Linked DNA regions of Mytilus edulis. The protein of the gene in region 2 purifies or fractionates together with the protein of the main gene of each other region. This does not show direct contact. Links are inferred from orthologs where the notes say so. Each region holds a gene or a part of one and is shown on either strand. Other genes may lie near its edges.

Region 1 (7,302 bases), on a different chromosome or scaffold from region 2:
AAAATTTGATCAAAATCCAAATTCAGAGCTGTATCACGCATAAATGTTTTGTCCATACCTGCCCCAACTGTTCAGGGATCGACCTCTGCGGTCGTATAAAGCTGCGCCCTGCGGAGCACCTGGTTTACTTTATATTTCAATAAGTAATTTATAATTATCAAAACAAAAGTTAGATACACAGAAAGTACAAAATGCCTAGATTCTTTTCTTTATTAACTACATGTGTGGGTCTTAAAGGAATAAAATGCTACGAAACATTGCAAAACGGTAGTCATTTTTTCCAAACGTATCAAAACGTCAAATAATCTGAAAAAACGCTTATTACCACCGTTACATGTGCTTAATTAGTTTCAATGAAATGCTCCTGATAATTAAACAAATCGGGTGGTGAAATTTGGAGCAAGATATTGAAGGCTGTCGAAAAAAAAAATGGTGCATGTTGACTGACTCGGAACATAGAATCCACACAGATTAAATTTGGCTATTTTATAAATCTTTTTAGCTTTTAGCGATTTATTGCTGATAGAGGCGACAAATTTCACAGTTTAGTTGGCGACTTGTCCTGCTACTCATGTTATAGCTGTCATAATGGAACTAATTCCTGTACTAGCGAAGTTGGGCCTTTCCGTCAATATAAACTTGTACATGAAACGGAGGTTACTGAATGACTAATCGAAAACAGCAACCAAAACTATTTCATTGAATTACAGCCGATTTCAATGTTTTAATAATCTAAGAAGTACATTGTAGTCATTTAGTCTTGATGTTTGGCTTATGATATACCTAAATATCAAGTCTTAAAATAGTATTTCATGGTTGTCATGTAGTCTTGATATTTGGCTTATTATACTTCTTAGATTATTAAAACACCCTTTACCCAATGCTAAACCTCCAATATGGTTATATCATAAGGTCACATGATTACCTCATAAAAATTCAAAAATAAAATATATTTAAACAAGAATGTGTCCCCAGTACACGGATGCCCCATCCTCACTATCATTTTCTATGTTACGTGGACCGTGAAAATGGGGGGAAATCTCTGATTTGGCATTAAAATTAGAAAGATCATATCATAGGGAACATGTGTACTAAGTTTCAAGTTGATTGGACTTCAACTTCATCAAAAACTACCGCGACCAAAAACTTTTACCTGAAGCGGGACTAACGGACGGACAAACAGACGGACGGACGCACTGACCAGAAAACATAATGCCCATAAATGGGACATAAAAATGTCTTTAAGTTCTTAATCTATTGCCCTACTGTATATTGGCATCCAAATTTCTTTAAAATTTTATTGTTTAAGAGAATTTTTAAACTCTTTTTTAAATATTGTTTTTTTGTAAAGTTTAACGGTACTTCAAACTTGTTAACAAAAGAAAAGTCTAAATCTACATGATCTTAGAATTTAATATATGTTTGATGTTTCCTATCCAAGATTCCTGGTTAGGTTTGTTCACAGAATGGGATAAATTTATGGCCTCCCATATAGGATAATATTTGAAGGTTCAATTCTTTCATACGATGATTCCAATATTTTATCATACTGATAATTACATAATAAAGTGTAGGGAGTTAAGGTAGCACAATATAAAGATTTTTTCACTCCCAATCAGACAACTTTAAACTGATGTAATTCATTTCATCCTTCTTTATATTTTATAAATGAGGTACCAAAAGAAAGAAGAAAGATTAATCTTTCAAATTGTGATAATTTCATTATGACATAATCATTACATAATTAATTATTATGTAATTAGTCGCTATATTGTGATGTCCACACTTGAATGAATTTAGCGTCTTTGTTTTTCATAGCATCCCAAAATATTTTATAGATTCTTGTACAACACAGCTTGACCTCCAAAACTGTGTCTCAGATTTCCAAAAACATCAATAGAACAAATTTTATACCCAATTGAACTTAGTGGTCTCTAATGAATTGATGTTGCAAACTTCATTGAAGATTTATGAGAGAATGAAATACAATAGGAAAAATCTGAGACACAGTTTTGGAGGTCAAACTGTGTTGTGCAAGAATCTATAAAAAAAATTTAGGATGCTATGAAGAACAAAGAAGCTAAATTCATTCAAGTATGGACATCACAGAATGGCAACTAATTACATAACAATTAATTATGTAATAATTATGTCATAATGAAATTATCACAATTTGAAAGATTAATCTTTCTTCTTTTTTTTGGTACCTTATTTATAAAATTTAAAGAAAGATGAGTGGAATTACATCAGTTTAAAGATGTCTGATTGGGGATGAAAAATCTTTGTATTGTGCTACCTTAATCTAGTTCAACTCTACATGCCATATTTGATGTTTTTAAATTACTTCCAAGAAAACTTACAAAACTTAGTATGAATTTTCTCTAGAACAAGATAATCAGTTTCTTTTGATATGAAGTTATCCATATATTTTTGTTTCTTATGTGGTATATAACCCCAAATTTCATATCCATACAACAAGATAGGTCTGATTATAATGGTTATAAATATGTAATGAAGTAATAGATTTTGGGCTTTCCACTGAAAAGGTCTTCCTTAATTTGCAATAAGCTGTCATTCTTTTATTATTATGTTCTATTCTTTGCCTTTTGAAAGTTCCCAGATGCTAAAAAAAAATATTCTCAAGTATATGTACTAATACTAGTTCTGTACACATTCTAAAATATGGTTTCCTAAGGATATTTTAATAATTTTATGTCGTCCTGATTTGTTAAATACTTTTGGTCTTTTAGGTAAATGTTTGGTGATAACTGTTATTTTACGTTCAACTACTACATGTACTAAATTAATTTACAAACACAATTTTTTTTCAATGATCCAAACCAAAATCTGTGGCATAGCCCATTTACTGTAACTTAGCATAAAGCTAAGTAAACTTAGTATAATATACTTAAGAAATGCAAAATTAGGGGTCAAACAAGATAACTGATAGTCTCACAAGACTGTTAGATTTGAAATGTAATTCCAAATTGTTGGGTTACTTCATTTATTATTACTGAATTTATTTATTTTATTTATAATACTTGTAGATACTATTTTTGGGTATTTGCGCATATGTAACGTTTTGCTCATGAACATTATAATATTTCCCGTTTTTAAGTTTTATGACGTTTCGCTTTTGACGTACGTTACGTTGTCTAGTTTTTTATTCATTGCAAGTTATTTGATATTCGGAGACACATCATTATTTTATAGAGAGATCATAATCAGTAAGAGATAATTTATGTACATTTTTAAGAACAATATTTATTTGAAGAAGAAATATTAAGAATTGTAAAAGTATTTATAAATTAATATTTATTCTAATTAACTTTTTAATTCAACAAGTTACTTATGAAGCGTGAAAGAAAGTGAATCATATTGTTTGATTAGTATTATGCCTTTAGTGTTTTAAGTTATATTTTAACTTACGTGTATTTGTATTTTATTGTAGAGAATCGGTTGTTATGATATAGTATATGAAGCCAAAATTATATGTACACAATGTAGTTTTGAAGAATAAAGATACTTATATAGACCGCATACTCGACTTATCGCCTTATTTGATGTCTTTGATGTGATCCGTTACAAAGACAATATTGAGTCTTGATCATGTTAATGAAGTTATGAACTGCTTGTTATAAGGGAGTCCTTGTAGATAAAAGGCTGTGATCCAGCATTATCATTGAGAAAATGTGTTGCTCCAGATTTTTTTAGTTTATTTTTATTTTTTGTAAATGTGAGCTTGTATATTTAATACATTGTATATGAACAAAATTATGTATAATTTGGGATTTTAAATAGAAATAATTTATATATTGCCTTTTATGCCTATTGGGTTGTAGTTTTATAATTATAAGATCACTGAAAACAGCATTCCGAAATAAAGGAAGATCTATATCATACAGACATTATCTAAAATGAAAGGTTTATATTACATACATTGAAGTAACACCTTATCTGTCCTACAGATTTTGAACAAGGAAGTAAAATATCTTTCACAAAGCTTGAGTAAAAGATAGAAGCTCTATCAGATTGTCTATTAAAATTCTATTTATGAATATGATACTACAAAAAAAAATTCTAAATTTTAGATCAATAAATTATGTGATTAATACTAAAAATAAGTATCGTAATCAAGGATAAAAGTTAATATCCTGGTATAAATATAGTTTATTTCTATCCGTTATTCAAACCCTTTCGTCTGGTTCCCGGGTTGGTTTGAATACACAGAGGAACCAGTATAAAAATAGAAATTGAAACTAAGAAATATGTGGTCGAGAACAAGTTATACTCTACGGTATTTTTCAAAGGATAAACTGTTTTCTTCTAACAAGCACATTGTAAGGTTACAACGTAGAAAAGCTAGTAGCGGTTCTATTCAGAAAGCAGATCTAGACGATAAAGAAATAACTCAAACTAGTCAAAGTGGAGAGTATATCCAGAAAGCATTAAAACCTAAAACGAATGATCCATTTGTTAAAAATTTATTTCTTGGAAATTTTGATAAGGTAATTATGAAAAAAAGTATTAGCCGATGCAACAACTTTACATGATCTTCCAAATACTGCTATTTCCAATCAAATAGAAGAGAAAATGTTATTATAAAATATAAGTGGAGGTTACATAAGCACTATACAGCTTTTTGCCCACAATAATAATAATACATCTACATACAATGAACCTAATCGCTATTGTCGGCCATTACTCTGAGCTGTTACTGGATATCACACAGGTTTCCGTGAAATTTTGACATCAGAAATAGAATTTATCTGACGCCTCAATGGTAAAGTGATTGTTGTATGACGTCAGTAGTTCAAGCGAGACAGATTCTTGGGTCAGCCTGGAATAGCAATAATGTGTAATGTGTATGTAAAGACATAAAATCCTAAACATTTTAATATGAAAATATGATGATTTCAGATGTTCACTAGACCTGTGGGGTAATCACAATTCTGATGAGATTTTTACCATGGACTAGCGATTTTGTTGATTTTAATTTATTGCGTGTTATTGCCTAAAAGAAATGTGCTACAAAATAACTGTGTTCAATCAGCAACTATTGGGAAGGTTGTCAACATGGTCAACATTAACAGATAAAGTGTAAATATTTTGTACAGAAATTCAAACACCATTTCCTGTAAAATTATAAATTTTAAGTGACACAGACAAAAACAAAGTATTCGTATGTACAATGTAGATGCTTTGACATTTTCAGGATGCTCTGATATACCCTGAACTTACGAAAGAACAGTTAGATGATATAAACCAATTGGTGCAGCCTATAGAAAGATTTTTTGATGAAGGTAGTTATTCATTCTGTACAAGTTTAATATCCTTGGTCCATAATTATACAACCGCAAAAATACAAAAAAAACTGAGATTTAGTTTGAGGTTAGTTTTCCCGAATATGTAGGAATAAGGGGCCAAAAAAGGGACAAAAAGAAGCATTTTTCTAGTTTACAGACAATAACTTGTGTTTAAGTGTATGGATCTCTTTAAATTTTTACAAGAAAATTAAATACCACTAAAGGAAGGTTGTGATTGATCTTGGGGGTTATGGTCCCAATAGTTTAGGAATTAGGGGCCAAAAAGAGGGCCCAAAATAATATTTTTTGTAGTTTTCAAACAATAACTTATGTTTAAGTGTATGAATCTCTCTGAAATTAAACCACAAGTTACCATACCATGAAGAGATGGTTAGTATTGACTTTGAGGGGTTATGGCTCAAAATGTTTCGGATTTAGGGGCAAAAAAAGGGGAAAAAATAGGTATTTCTGTTCAATGGACAATTAAGACAATTTAAAAGCAGTGTAAGGGAGGTAATTCTAAAACATTTAACATACAATATTGGGTACATGTATGTTCTGGTTTACCTCCCTTACACTACTTGTATATTATGTATTAAGAAATGTCAGGTCTTGGACTAATTGCAAAAAAAGGGGGCTGGTAGTTGTTTTTAATTTTTTTTTCAAATTTCTAAAATTCCAAATTTTTGAAAAGTTAAAAGAAGAAATCTTTAATTGCACAATATTGCGCAATAGATTTGTAAGATCTTGACATTTGTTTTGTGTCAGAAACTCATATTATGTCAAAAATTTGATCGCAATCCAAATTCAGAGCTGTATCAAGCTTGAATGTTGTGTCCATACTTGCCCCAACTGTTCAGGGATCGACTTCTGCATTCGTATAAAGCTGTGCCCTGATGAGCACCTGGTTCTATCTTATTTTAGTCTTTGAGGTTCATAAGATAGATAATAATAATAAATTGTAGTCATGATATTTAAAAAAATTAAATGTCTCTATCTAATAAAAAAGAAAGAAAGTTAGTTTATTTTTCCTGTCAACATACTGCTCTTTCTATGCATGTTTTGACCTCCCAAAACTTAAAAATTTAACAATGTTAAGGGGGTTGTAAAAATAGTACTTGTGGAAGTAAATTTTGGGAAAAGATCAAACTTTGAAAATTAAATCCAAGTCTTCCAAAATTTTCTATACAAGTAAATATTACTAACACTTTCAAGCAAATGAAGATGACTTGTATAATTTCCCTGGCTGACTGATAGAAAAGTTTTCAACTTTGTTGTAGTTGATTCAAAGACAATAGATGAAAAAGCTAAAATTCCTGATGATGTTTTACAGCAGTTAAAAGATTTAGGGTTATTTGGTCAACAAATTCCTGAAGAATATGGTAAGTAACCTTTATTTAGATATAAGAACATGTGTTATGAGTGCCAATGAGACAACGATTTGTAAAAGTATTAATATGAACCATCATAGGTTAAATTACAGTCTTCAACACAAAGCGTATGCTACATGTATTATTAATAACATGTACATTTTCTCTATTGATCTCTATTGGTACGCAAATGTAAAATTGTGCTTTGAATTTAGTGCTGATTCAGAAATAAAATATTTGTTATGATACATGTAGTATGATATTTGTCTTTATTTATTCATTAAAATATGAAATATCCATATCCAATTTTTCATCTCTAATAAGACTTTATTTACAAAATATAACACATAAGTAAAAAAAAAAATACAATTTCAGAAAAAGAAGAGCAACTATAAAAAAGAATTATTTAAAAAATGGGACACCAAAAATAGAAAAAAATATTTGATGGTAGAATTGACATCAAAATAACAAATATCAACTAATTGCAATACAAACAAAACAATTAATTAAATTGCTTACACATGCCGGTGCAGTACGTTTGCACGCATTACCATTACATTTGCGGGCATTGCCAATACATTCGCGCACAAAAATCATTTTTGCACGCAGCTTTTGATTACATTTGC
Region 2 (6,522 bases):
CTAAATTAAAAATTTCTAAATCTGTCACACTGACAAAAATTAATAGCACCCTCGAGCTCAATGACTATGATGACCCTTGAAGCTAAACGGTGGCTCATTTAAAAGTGTTTTACCTTACATTCTATTTCTAGCTTTGGCAACCAAATTTGTTTGCAAACAAAATCATGACAAATGTATGTAAGACCATCTTTTAAACAAGATTCAAGGATGATTCTGGCTTCTATTAAACCAAAAATTTACATTGTACACTACATATTCAGATTAGAAGAGTTTGGTAAAAGTTAAACACTGAACATGTACAATGTACAGATGCCAAGTGATATAAAGAATAGCTCTACTGCACATGGTTCTTCAGGTCAAAAGACCTATAAAAAGCATTGGTGGACAGTGCTCAAGTACATACTGTTACGATACATATGTAGGCTATAAAGGTCAGTTAATAAAGTATAAGTTGACACAGAGATAACATGATGATTGTTGTTCCAAATGGTCAATTTTTTTAAGATTTTTTTTTTTTGTATGTACATTGATTGAATGAAACTAACAAGATCATGAAGATTTTTCATTTTTTTATGAACACATAATGAAAACAAATCAAAGTGTATACATACATTAGAATATTTAATATCCTAATGTGTAACAAAACTACATCATGCTCTCAGTAACCATGGTAACTAAAGTATGTGTTACATATGTAGAAGATCAAAATGCTAGAAAAGATGTCTAATGCATCTCACAAGTTCATTTTGTGACATCCACATCACGTGAATAAAAAGAAACAAACAAGTTTTGGATTTTTTGTCAATGTTAAGTAACATCTGCATCTGACAAATGTCTGCGAGAGAACCCGGTTTGAAATATGTAAGCATGTTATTTCTTTCAATATCAAAATGCATGAACAGAGATAGTTCATTCTCATTCACGGACAATAACTAGAACAAGGATGAAATTTATTTGTTTGCTGTTTTTTTGTCTTTTGATAAATCAGTCGACTCAGCAAGCTTATAAACAGTAGGCTCTTGTCTTTGTGAGGACAAATATTTCACAGCTTTTTCATTCCTTTTCTTGAATTCATTAGATACATGCAATTCAAAAGTCTGAAAATGTTTTAACACATGTTTGACCTGAACAGGGTCCAACTTATATTCTTTGGCAACTTGTTCGGACGTGTATTCTTCAGGGTATTTTTGATGATTCAATATAAATTCTAATGTTTTTCGAAGAGTCACTTTCCCTTCTGGTATTGAAGCAGGTTCATCGAATCCGAATTCAGGGTCTTCTGTTTCCTTTCTACTTTCAGGCATTTTTTTGGCCACAATATCTTGATTTTTCCCAGTTGAATCTATTTGTAATGTTTTTAAGCGTTCGTCTAACACATTGTCCTTGACTTTTTGAGCTTCATATAACTCTGGGTGTTCTTTCGAGAATTTGTCCAGTATATCTGCGGTGGAGTCATGTCGTGGTGCTGCTGGTAATTTGTCTTTTTGAATAAACCTGTGTGATCGATTTTCAATGTTGTAATTTTTAAAACTTCTCGATACAGTAGGTAGAAGTTCACTTATCCTGTTTCCCATCTCAATGCTAGGGAAAAGAAATAATTTATATTTCTATTTGTACACTCCAATATTTTCAAGTTGACTTACACAACGTATCGTGCTAGTTAATGACATTTAACCAATTTGAAACACCCATTTTCATTGGTTATCATTGATCGTAATCAACAGACACTCGTCTTCGTCCTCTCATAACATAAAGCCCCATAAACGGTACCAGATACGCATTCCAACAATCAATGTCTCTTCAGTGATGCCCGTACTCATGGAGTTTTGGTAATGTGATTACTTTGTCGTTTTTATAGTGATTATTTGATAACCAGACCAAATATTAATTTCAAGACAACTTGAGTGATAATCTAGGAACATATTTGTATAACTTTCTGGATTACGGGCTTGTTTAAAAAAAATGATCTAGTAAGGGATTTTATTGGAAACCAATTTGTGATTGTGTGATTGCTTTTACACCCCTCAATATTTGAAAATCCGATTACCATAAAAAAAAAAGCAACATTGTATTGTAACAAATTATATTTAAATTATACCAACTTGAAGTTGTACGTTGTGTTTGGCATGGCGTGCTTTTATAATTCATTCTGATATATTTGAATTGTTTTTTCGATGTTTAAATACATGGATATTTGTATAGGGGCGAATAGTTTTATCTTTTTTTCAGACTGCTATCCAAAGTTAGGATACTTCAGTGGTTGTCGATCAATGGTTGCTGCATGTCCGCGTTTTTACTGATTTGTATCATGAGTGTTTTGAGTAAATCAAGCCTTTGGGTTTCTTCTTTATGATGTTACACATTTTGTCCTGTCGCACGACGTTTTATAGCAGTTATATTTCTAATAAAAAAAACAGTATTTTTGTGTACACATGGTACATCAGTATCTAATAATTGGTCTGTGGTTATATTGTTATCATTGGCCGCTGAATGATTACACATTTAGAACTTATTTTGGAACTTTGCTAATATAATAATTTTGGATGTTGTTTGGGTTTGTTTATGGTGTTGGAGTCATGATAATGATTTCTAGTCCATTTTTTTTCAAGATTTCAATTAGTATATAACTATTTACTATTTATCATTTTTAGCTTAACTAAACCATACAGACATGTGAGCTATTCTTATCAGTTGGCAAATGTCGTCTGTTTGACTATGTTGACTTTTACAAAAAAAAACTCTCCTGAGATAATTGAAACAAGATTCGGTAATTATTCTCCTTGTAATGTGTCCGATAACACTGCTAACCAAACCAACATGATCACCAGACTAAAAATAGAACATAGATGAGGTCAAACATATGTACTGTATAATGATAACTTTTGTAATCGCGTGGCTAATATTTTCAAGGGGCATAACTCTTTTGAAAGTCGATATTGCTGATATTGACTTGAAGTACAAGTTTTATAAAACTGAATCTGGAAAGAATTGTACCTACGAGAGCGCTAACAAGACCGGTACGACGGACCAACGGACGGCACGACCAACGGACGGACGCCCAGTATTGAAAAGTCTCAAAGCATTTCAAATTTTCGACTAGGGCATAAAAGGGGGTCGATGCAGTCGAGCACCAAACTTTGGCGATAAAATCCTACTTAATATACTCTTATTCTGTCTTCAACTGTAACCTAGTTTTAGAAAAAAAGTAGATTGTAAACGCTGATATTTGGCGTGTAACGATCTCAACAACTTACATCCTTCCCCTTAAAACACAAAACTGTACGTGACCTTATCTTGATTTTAGACTAAATTTTCAATGCATATCTTATGCATACTATTATCAAGTGAAATATCAATTTGTATAGTAATTGTCAATATGTTGTTCATACTGTACGCACGAACTCCATTTTGGATGAATATTGTGGTAGGGTGATGAACATTTTTATCTTAATGGTTTTATTTCATAAAAAGATACGGTCCTGTACAACAGTGTTAATGCAAGAATTGGCGGTGGCTGACGGACTCACTGCGTTTTGTACCTATGGATTTGAACCTTTTTTTAATTTGCATTATGAAGTGATAGGAAATGATACTTATACATCATGATGTTTTTAAAAAAGGAAGTTTATGACTAAGAAATATATCGTGACTTTTGTTTGTCATTCAAGCTTTTCAATACTGATTCAGTATTTATGTTTACATATATGATAAGTTTCAATTTGTGTTATATTTGATAATTATTTTGGTTTCCTGTGTCTCGAGATTTCATGATAGAATTCTTAGTTTTTGACTCAAAATATTAATTTCTGGTCAGGAAGTATGTTTGTTTCCGTATACAATCTTTTTGTTATGTTTAAAACAATGGAGTTATAATATTTGACATATATATTTGACGGTTTCATATGTTTTTATGATGAAATCTTAGTTTTTGACTCAAAACACTATTATATCATTTTAATCATGAAATTGTCAGTTTTCTTATTAAAAAACATGTTTGTGATGTTTCAAATATAAAAATGGTGTTTAATTAAAACATAAATATTTTTAAATTTCCCAGTTTTCATAAATTTGTTTATTTAAAAATAAATCCGATGATTTTAACCCATACTATTCAATTTCCACCAATGCTGTTCGGTGTGAGCCAAGTCTCCGTTTTAAAGGCCGTACTTTAATCTATAATTGTTGACTTTTTACACATTGTGACTTGGATGGAGAGTTGTCTCATTGGCACTCATACCACATCTTCTTATTTCTATTGACAGTCTGAGAAAATAAGTATAACATGATGTTTTATAACTTTCTGGACGCACACAAAAACCCACTCAATTAGATAATGTTGCAATATTATTGATGTTTTCTGCATTGATTGACTCCCATGCATTAATGAAATGAACGTATTTCCAAGGACAAATAGGGAAGTTAAATATTTAAAGAGGGTGGTAAAGGATTATTTTCGTGCAACGTGTTTTGCCATTTTTATTTCACGTGCAGCCGTGAAAAGGTTCGTTATTCACCGTGTTTCGTGAAATCGGTAAAAAGATCAACGTGCAGGACATTTTTAATTGTTCGTTAATCGTGAAATAACAATTTTACTTCGCGTTCTTTGGTGCAGATACCTTCTACCCCTCTTTACGCCCCTCTTTAAACAAAAACGATTACTCATTATTAGATTTTGCTATTAAAAAAAATCTATTATACGATAATTTAGATTGTGTTATCTTGATTGTTGTACTTATGCACATATATGTGAGCTTTTCTTGATTTATTCGAATAAAATGGTTATGTCCGAATATGGTCCGTTCTAAAACTTGCGTGAAAACTTAAATTAAGATACATGTGTTGATTTTTTCTGCATATTTACTTTTTAGTTGATAGTTTTTCATTGAACTTTTCTGATGTATTTTCATTCATATATATAATTTTTTAACAAATTTCTCAAGACACTTTTATACTATATAAAATTGAGAATGGAAATGGGGAATGTGTCAAAGAGACAACAACTCGACCATAGAGCAGACAACAGCAGAAGGTCACCAACAGGTCTTTAATGCAACGAAAAATTCCCACACCCGGAGACGTCCTTCAGCTGACCCCTAAACAAATATATACTAGTTCAGTGATAATGAACGCCATACTAAACTCCAAATTGTACACAAGAAACTAAAAGTTAAAATAATACAAGACTAACAAAGGCCAGAGGCTCCTGACTTGGGACAGGCGCAAAATGCGGCAGGGTTAAACATATTTGTGATATGATATCTCAACCCTCCCCCTATACCTCTAGTCAATGATACATATATATTTATACTATTTTGTTTTATTTATTGGAATATGATAGCCTTATATTATAACTCCTTATCATTATCCCAACTCTCAATGAAGCGTCTTTGTCAAAGAATCTGCCTATAGGAAATATATCAAAATAAGGATAAAGGATAGAATTTTTACCTCCCAATTGAAAAGTGAGGACACGTTAGAAAGGGACAAACATTTTGTGTCGGAATCAATGAATTACCTCATGTGTATGGTCTGTAGCGGGCGAAAAAAAATATGACTGATTCACACAGCAGGGGCGGATCCAGCCATTTTAAAAAGGGGGGTCCTAACCCAGGACAAAGGGGGGATTCCAACTACATGTCCCCATTCAAATGCATTGATCGTCCAAAAAAAGGGGGTCCAACCCACGGACCTCCCTGGATCCGCCACTGCACAGATATGCCCTTCTGCAATTGAGGATAGAAACCAGATATCGTGTTAATAATCCACATTTTTTTTAAACACGTTGCATGCGGTTTTGATCGTTTTATTTTTGCCCTAAGTAAAGAAACAGGACAACGATCCTTTAAATTATCAAGTCTTAATTTAAATTTTTAAGTGAAACGTAGTAATAGGGATTCTAAGATATTTTGATTAAGAAGAAGGCACTTGAATCATACCTTTTTTTAATGGGGTTGGGGCTAGGATGAAAATTTTTGTCTTGCACTTTTTTTGTGTTTTTAGTTTTAATCTCTGTCCTGCCTTTTTATATTTTACTCTATTTGGTCCTTTTTTATCTATTAGTTTATCCCGACTTTTTTTTATTTGAATTGTCATCCTGCCTTTTTTTGGCAAAGTATCTCATCCTGCATTTTTTTTAACTCAAAACTTCTGTTCTGTTTCTTTTCAAATTTCATCTTAGCCCCCACCCCCTTAAAAATCAAATGGTAGCTTCCGTAGATGGTATTCACATATTCACATATTGTAATCAATCCTTAATACGGTTCCTCTGGTGATCAGTTGAAGTATGTTTCAATAAAAGGGAAGATTTGAGATCCCAGGGAATCAGTTTTACCACATGTTTAAGTATCTAAACCAAATGAGGAACCTTTCAAACGCTGTCTTTTCAAGACGTTTGTCACGTCATTTTTTTTTTCGTCTGGAGAATTCTGCGTAAAAGAGAGATTTTTAAAAGGCTGTGTGGAATAACCATGCAAACAGGCTTAGGAAGATTGAGTGCTACCAAATTGGACTTATCACCGGATT
Region 3 (7,977 bases), on a different chromosome or scaffold from region 2:
TCCATAAGTTTCTGTCTCATTACTGTATACCCAAGAAAGCCTTCGAGCTATTTACACATCATTCAAGGACTACATTTTTTTTCATTTAAGAGCTTTCTTCTTCTCCAGACCATGTTTACAGAAATGAATATAACCATTTTCCTTTGATAACATTTATTTGCTTTGGACCAAGTTATTTTTAATATTATATTTTAGATTATACATTTTTTCACCTTTATCAGAGTTACATTTTTTGTAAACATCTTAGCTACACAATGTACATGTACCATACTCTCAGAGTAACTTTAATGAATTTACCACTTAAACATTTCAGTAATTTATTGGTATAACTTTTTGTATACCTGTTTGTTTCTTGAACTGCCTGTTTCTGTGAGCCTGCTGACCTACATACTGCTGTTAATGGAGTTGGTCTTCTTAATAACAGACTTAGTGCTGGATTGAAACCGCTCTTCAACAGTAACACTGAAAATAGAAATTTTTAATATATATATTTAAGAATAGAGGTTGGCAAATTGGATTATGGATCTATTAAAGAATTAGGTTTAAAAGGTTAAAGTAATTTGTGGAACTGACTTATTTCAAAGATTTTCCATGTAAATATAGATTGTGTTCATCACTACAGATATGAAAATAGTTAAGGAAGCTATTAAATCAAGAGTTCCAAATGGTGAAGTTGAAATCATCTCTTTGTAAATTTTATGGACACCATCACCAGTTGGTAGACTGTTATGGAATAACCGTTTCACAAATGATATCAGATACATTTTGTATGTTCCTTACGTCATAACTACAATCCCCTTCCCTTACATAAATGTGACCTACCTAATTAGACTATTTACCGGATTTGTTATCTCATAAGCAACACGACTGGTGCCACATGTGGAGCAGGATCTGCTTACTCTTCCAGAGCACCTGAGATCACCCCTAGTTTTTGGTGGGGGTTGTGTTGTTTATTCTTTAGTTTTTCTATGTTGTGTAATGTGTACTAATAACTAGTACTATTGGTTGTCTGTTTGTCCTTTTATTTTTAGCCATGGCGTTGTCAGTTTATTTTCAATTTGATGAGTTTGACTGTCCCTCTGGTATCTTTCGTCCCTCTTTTAAGTTAATGAGTGGATGATGATGGATGGTTGTTTACTGTTCAGCACCAAATTAAATGCAAATTCAGGATAAAAGTATGTTTAGGCCATATGCACCACATTTTATGTACCTCAGTATTTGTTTACTATGTTTAAACTGTCTTGAAGACGCCACCTTAAGTGGCGAAACATGTAGATCATAATAAAAAAATTATATTTTCCTTTCAGTAATCTATGATGTTGTTGTCTTTGTGTAGCATAATACATGTATTTAGTTGATTTTTGTTTCCAAATGACTTTATATCTGCTCCAAATAACCTTCTGACATTAAGCAAAACTCACGTCAAATTTTACAGGAACTTTTGTGATGTCCAGTCATGGGGGACAAATACTGTTAAAGTGTATTCTAATATGACGTACATGTACACATTCTTCATACGCTTTGAGTACACATCCCTTGTAAATATATTGTTGGGTTGTTCTGATCATACTGGTATGAATATGGTATACATCAGTTTATTTGGAACTACATATACTTGGGTTTACTATTACCAATGTACAATAGGGCTCTTCACGGTTAGTTCGGCCATATTGGATAGGGGGCAGATTTTTTTGAAAGAGGTGGAAATAGTATGAAAGTATGGGAAATCCTATGCATGTTTCTAAGCAACTGCTCTGTTTAAATGATGTGTTCCCACACTAATTTTACCTCCATTGTGAAAATCTGCCCCCTATCCAATATGGCCAAACTAACCGTGAAGAGCCCTATTCGAGACAACTACTTCAATTAAGGAATTCCGGGATTTCCAATGCTATATTTGAGTCAATAGCCTAGATGTTATCCTGATCAGACGTCCCACATGGATGAGCGACCAGATTGATGACCAAATGACTAAAGCCTAAGACTGTTATATTCAGGTAATATGAGGCAGGCATTACCTGTTAATAGGGACGAAGTCTGTATGAATTATATTTTTTGATTCAAACATCTTAATAAAAGAAACGGAAACACTGTAACGTTTCCGATGTTGGTTCTGTTGTTAGGGCTTTAGTTGTGACCTTTTTTAAGTAATGACGTCATATTTAATGTAAACAAAGAAATGCCGTCATCAGGTAACGGTTTTTTCATATCAAACAATTATCAAAAATGAATTGGTATTGAGTTCCTTTCTTATATTTTAGTAAACTGATAAATATATGTATTATTCAAAGTCTCATGCCAACAAGACCGGAAAAGGAAGTAGATTTCTGCGCAAATGCAGGGATTTAAAAAAGTCTGAAAAAAAAGTTAATGATTTTGAGTTCATTAGTAAATATGAAAATTTTTGGAAATTTTCCTGATTTTTTTTTTATTTTTTTTTGTCGATTTTTCTACCGTAATTGGGGACTTTGTCCCCATGATATTTTAACACATATACACAACCCTATAAAATCATTACAATAGTCAATACACCTTATCGCTAATCCCGGCTGACCCGGCCGCTTGAACTTTTTACATCAACAACAATCACTTTTCCATTGTGGCGTCAGATATTTTGTTTTATGACGTCAAAATTTTACGGGAACTTGTGTGATTTCCAGCAATGGCGGACAAATAGCGATAAGGTGTATTATACTCCCATGTCATATATTTTTATTTATTGAGCTTGTGGTAAAATATTAAGCATAAAGGTCCAACCCATGGTAAAATCAGTATAAATGTTTCTTAAAAGTAAATCAAGTCTTTTTTGTTGCAAATAACACTTAACAAAAAACAAAAATATCTCCCCCTTTTTTTTTTAATTCGCGTTAAAACGTTCAACTGTATAAAAGTTAATGCATGGGAGATGATGATCTATGTGTGCCCTTAAAGCATGACAATGAATATTTTGTCTGCACCGAATGGCGACGCTGTAACAATTCTGGTTGTCTGTTTATAGGAATTTGTCCTTTAAAGTTTCATAACCTACAATTTTTCCCAGCCATTGCTGTGTTTTTAGCGGAAATGAGGTCAACATTTTTTAGCGCTTGCGCATTAAATTAAACAAAATGGCGGACGCTGGAGAGCTCAAGGTAAGTGTCGTTCAATTTTTCTATCGATTCATAAATTTTATTGAAAGTAAGTTTATTTTAAGTATTGTATCGAATACATAGATGTATTTTCCTTCCTGTAAATCTAAATTTATATATATTTTCGCCTTCTAGATCAACATAAAGAAGCTTTTATTTCGATATTTTTGACATCCTCGTCAACTAGCAGTGACCTAGATTTGAAAACAATGTGTTTTTGGTCGATAGTTTAATATCCCAGGGAATTCGGCCATAATATAGAGTTAGTTTAACCAGAACTATTAACAACGGTCATGTACATTGAACAGATATTAAATTTTCGAACAACTTTTTTCACATTGAATGTTTAAAATCACGAAGCGGGAACATTTTATCGTCACGGCTAATAGATCCAAGGAGTGTCAAGGTCGTTCTATTTATAAACTATGTTGGAAGTTTGATACAAAACCGAAAATATGTTTATATTTTTGCTCAATTTTTAAATTCAAGATGGAAATTTCCAAGTTAAGCATTAATGACTTCCTTATTTTGAAAAAAAACTTACACTTTCACAGTTGTGTTACTGAACTTGTTTGCTATTTAACATAATATGAGGAAAATGTTACCTGTGAAAAAGGACATAGTATGTAAATTTGTTTCTAAACATTTGAATATTGAATATATAAAATAGTAAATGTATAAAAAAAAGGTTAGTGCTTAACTTTGGAAGGTTATTGGTGCATGTTCGTAGTTCTGATCATACTTAATAATTTTTTTTATAGGAAATCCTCTTTTACAATCATGACAATGTATAATAAACAGATTTGTGAATTATGAAACACTGCATATGTAGACCCAGATTACTCTGACGTCCAACAGCTGAATTGCCAGACTCGGGCTGTGGGACGTCAGAGCTTGTCCCATATCAAAAAGTGGATATTTGCCCACCAAAAATAGATGCACTGCTTCATCGCTTCTGGTGCCGAATAACGGTCTAAGAATTATACAAATCTGGCATCAATCTGTTCGTTTTTCATTTATCTCTTTATTTATTTATATAATAAGTTTCACCTACAAATGTACCTGTCACCTTTAATTTTCTCATATTTAGACAGTTTTGACAGTAACCCATTAATTCTGGCATTTTAACTTTCATTTTGAAAGATTGTCATGTGATCAACGAGAAAAAAGTAAAGCACAATGGACTATGGGAGATAATGTATGCAAATGACCCTAGGTCAATATGAATGCATAATCTAATACCTCGTTCATTTAGGATGCAAGTGATCTAAATGTCCGAGAGCTTCCAATTGTTATCATGGTTGGCACTAAATGCTTAATACTGATCTCCTGTAAAGGAGGTGAAAAATCGTGGTTGGCTACTAAATGTTAGATATCGATCCTCTATAAGGAGGTAAAAAAAGTATAAATATTTGCATATTTTAGTCTCAAGATCTCGTTTAAACTAGAACACCCCTTCAGCCAAAATGCAGTCTTCCATATTATCACTTCGAGTTGTCTCCCTTCCGTAAGTAACTTCCGTCGAACGACGATACGTCGAAAAAAATTAACCTGTTCTGTCAATAGACGTCGTATTATATTAAAACCGATTGCAGTTTAAACAGAGGTATGTGTACGGAAAGGAGTCATGCCCACTGACCCAAAGGAAATTAAATATTTAAAGAGTTAGGAATGGGGTTCCACCTAGAATTCAAATAGGAAAATAGGTGATAAGGTACGAAGTTCGTCTTAGTCTTACTATCGAAGTGAAATACCTTCTCTCACTCTCAGTGACTGCTGTGGAAAGTAAACTTGGAATTGATAGTACAAAAATAAAACACAATAAGTACATTGTTCATCCACTTGTATCGAGGATTGGCTATTTTTAAACTTTAAAGTTGAATAACTATTCAGATTACGTAAATTACATTTTATGAGCATTTTACACGCGCAGTTGAATTATTTTTGAAAATAATACTACTGGTATTCATGTATCAATGAAAACAATGCCAATGGCAATCGTATCCCTCAGAGCAGATTAGCAATCTGCTCTTCGATTGATTAGGTGTAGTTTATGGTGAACCTCTTGTGGTAGGTCAATAATATTTGGTATGCAGTTGTATTGGCACATCTAATTTCCTCTGAGATTATTTGACTCTGTCCCCTCAGTTATGGTCTATTGACTTTGAAACTTTTGCTTGGTTTACATGTATTAGTTTGTGTGATTACATATACATTTGTAGGTCAGTTCAAGGGGAACCATAAGTGTTAGACCAATGTAAATTGGTATGCAGTTCACTACATGTATATAAAATGAAGGAGCTATCATCAATAATTACTTACCATACTTCATTTGTTTAAAAGTATAAAGTTTTCAACTGGTGTAGATTGATATGAAAATAAGAAGAGGTACATGTTCTATGATTTACATGAGACAACGAAATGACAGAAGTTTACAACTATACATGTAGACAGGGTTTCCCCTGGGTCAATTCTTTTTTTCGCCACCTCTTTCGCCAAAACAATATATTTTTCGCCACTTTATTATTTTTTTCGCCAAGTAACATAAATATATTTTTCGTTTAAAATTTACCTTTTTTTAAACAACTTTTCTAAATGAGGGGATCACTATACTTTTTTTTATAATAAAGAAAATATAAATCCTGGAATATAACAAAATTAATGGACATGTTTTGATCATATAATACCAGTATAGTTCGTAGGGAAAGTTTTTTAACAGAAAAATACTGATAATCCCTTTGGTACTAAGAAAAAGCTTTTATCACATGAAACTGATCCCTCATTTCATGTGTAGTCATTATATTGAAAAATTACTCTCATTCGAGGGGTTGTTCCCAACCTTTTGGATAGATTTCTTCATAACGACAGTTTTCTTTTCTTGGCCATAGTAAATTAAAAAGTTGAGACGTAAAACTATGCTTGAAACACGTGTGTCACTCAAACGACTTTAAAGTAGTCTCTCTAATTAATTACCTATATATATAAAAGTCAAAGGATAATAAAAGTTTTATATCGGAGATTTTTCTTGCTTTTGAACATTTTTCATCACCACAACAGTTTTCTTTTCTGAATTATCTTTAAAAGGAGAGGAGACGCCAAAAGTTTGCTTCAAACACGTGCGTCGCAAAGTGGTAAATAAATTCTGTATGTGACATTTAGCGGAAGCCATTTAACCATATTATTATTTTCAAACAATTCAATCAACACCTTTATTAATTAGTCCTTTGTTGTCGATAACTATAAAATGCAATCAGCTGATTATTGATTTTCTGTCAAAATCTTAATGAGGTCAAGGTGAATTCTGAGTAATGTCTGATCAGGTAAAGTCCGAAAAACTCGAAAAAAGTACATAAACAAGATGGAGGAAAATAATTCGTTCTATATATTTCTTTCGCCAAATTCTTTCGCCAATGAAGAATTTTAATCGCCACAATTATTATTTTTTCGCAAATTGCGAAAATGGCGACCGCCAGCGGAAACCCTGCATGTAGACAGTACAAATAAATGTGTGATACTGTTGTTAATTCACTCAGGTATATCACAAGATGGATACAATTCAAAATATAAAACATCAATGTTTTGAAAAACCTCCTTCATGTTATCTCAAAATACAAGATTCATCACTAATGCCTTGAGAATTGTTCCCCTAATTCTGAAAAGGAATGAGTCCCGGATTTATCATCACCAGAATAAATCTCAACGTATTGTTTGTAACATATCTCTAATGTTGTTTTTTTTAGCAAATGGTTATGAGCTTCAGGGTGTCTGAACTACAAGTTTTATTGGGATATGCGGGTCGAAATAAAACAGGAAGAAAAACAGAGCTCATGCAAAGAGCTCTACAACTTGTACAGAAAGGTGCCTCAGTACCTATACAGATAAAAATCAGAGAATTATACAAGTAAGTGAACATTGTTTATCATTTGTCTGAAATACAGTTGTACATGTACATACAAATTATATAGGCCAGAAAAAAATTATACCTGTGTTGGTGTTAATATTTGGTAGTTTGTAGGAATGTTTCTGGCATTTTTCTATATTTAGACAATTTGTAAAATATTCATGAAATCATAATAACTTTACATGTAGCTTTACTATGTTTATTGAATAAAATGACTTACAATATATATACTGTACTGAAAAAAATTGGCTGAAATTCAAAATATTTACTGATCAGTTTCATCTTCACTGCCTCAAGAGTTTCTTTAGTCTTTATAGACAATCTGATGACAATGAACTATATGTATTGAAATGGGTTCATCGAAAAGTGTGGGGTATATATGGCAGTGAGACAGCAACCCAAAAGTATTCATCAAACCAAAAGACTTCAAGTGGGCAACATAGTCATCATCAATAGACCGGTGCTTGTGTAAAATATGTACAAGCTGAATCCTCAGGAATTTAAAAATAGTTACATATGACAGTTAACAGAAATAATCTGAAGATCTACAATAAACATCGAACTCTGCAAATAACGAAAAATATATAAATATATAACATGACCACCACTGGCAATGTTCTATTTCTCAGTATTATAAAGAAACCATATACATTTGTACATGTAAGTATGCTGTAATGTTAAATTGTTGTCTTATTTGTTCAATTCCAATATGTATTTAGAAGAACATTAACTGATCCTTGAGCAGAATCATTTGTTATCTTTGCAGTCAAATTTTTTCATCTAACAGGAGGAAGCCACCTGGGAAGTCTGATGAAGGTCCTATGTTTAGTAGCAGTAAGTTTTATGTCTATGTATAATTGGTGATGGAAGAAGCATGTTGTTGTCTTATAACCCAAAACAAATTATAACAGTACAAAAATTGAAAGAGTCATATTTTGGGGTTGGCCT

Evidence for each region. Proteins that work in one complex are often made in the same cells at the same time.
Region 1: the proteins of NADH dehydrogenase [ubiquinone] 1 alpha subcomplex assembly factor 4-like (region 2) and complex I assembly factor ACAD9, mitochondrial-like purify together in Homo sapiens (co-immunoprecipitation; 3 studies listed by BioGRID and IntAct, with this or other methods). This does not show direct contact. The link is inferred for Mytilus edulis from reciprocal best matches to the Homo sapiens genes NDUFAF4 and ACAD9.
Region 3: the proteins of NADH dehydrogenase [ubiquinone] 1 alpha subcomplex assembly factor 4-like (region 2) and NADH-quinone oxidoreductase subunit B 2-like purify together in Homo sapiens (co-immunoprecipitation; 4 studies listed by BioGRID and IntAct, counting the BioPlex papers as one, with this or other methods). This does not show direct contact. The link is inferred for Mytilus edulis from reciprocal best matches to the Homo sapiens genes NDUFAF4 and NDUFS7.

What each region holds. Positions count from the first base shown.
Region 1 is NC_092344.1:87,964,937-87,972,238, reverse strand, and holds the start of complex I assembly factor ACAD9, mitochondrial-like, read left to right. Parts: upstream 1-4,204; 5' UTR 4,205-4,268; coding exon 4,269-4,508; intron 4,509-5,215; coding exon 5,216-5,303; intron 5,304-6,586; coding exon 6,587-6,688; intron 6,689-7,302. UniProt on the Homo sapiens protein: As part of the MCIA complex, primarily participates in the assembly of the mitochondrial complex I and therefore plays a role in oxidative phosphorylation.
Region 2 is NC_092350.1:75,670,065-75,676,586, reverse strand, and holds NADH dehydrogenase [ubiquinone] 1 alpha subcomplex assembly factor 4-like, read right to left. Parts: upstream 1,680-6,522; 5' UTR 1,575-1,679; coding exon 951-1,574; 3' UTR 555-950; downstream 1-554. UniProt on the Homo sapiens protein: Involved in the assembly of mitochondrial NADH:ubiquinone oxidoreductase complex (complex I). May be involved in cell proliferation and survival of hormone-dependent tumor cells. May be a regulator of breast tumor cell invasion.
Region 3 is NC_092347.1:29,798,261-29,806,237, reverse strand, and holds the start of NADH-quinone oxidoreductase subunit B 2-like, read right to left. Parts: upstream 3,099-7,977; 5' UTR 3,045-3,098; coding exon 3,029-3,044; intron 463-3,028; coding exon 342-462; intron 1-341. Other genes in the region: E3 SUMO-protein ligase PIAS2-like, read left to right, coding at 3,108-3,131, 6,869-7,029, 7,796-7,863. UniProt on the Homo sapiens protein: Core subunit of the mitochondrial membrane respiratory chain NADH dehydrogenase (Complex I) which catalyzes electron transfer from NADH through the respiratory chain, using ubiquinone as an electron acceptor. Essential for the catalytic activity of complex I.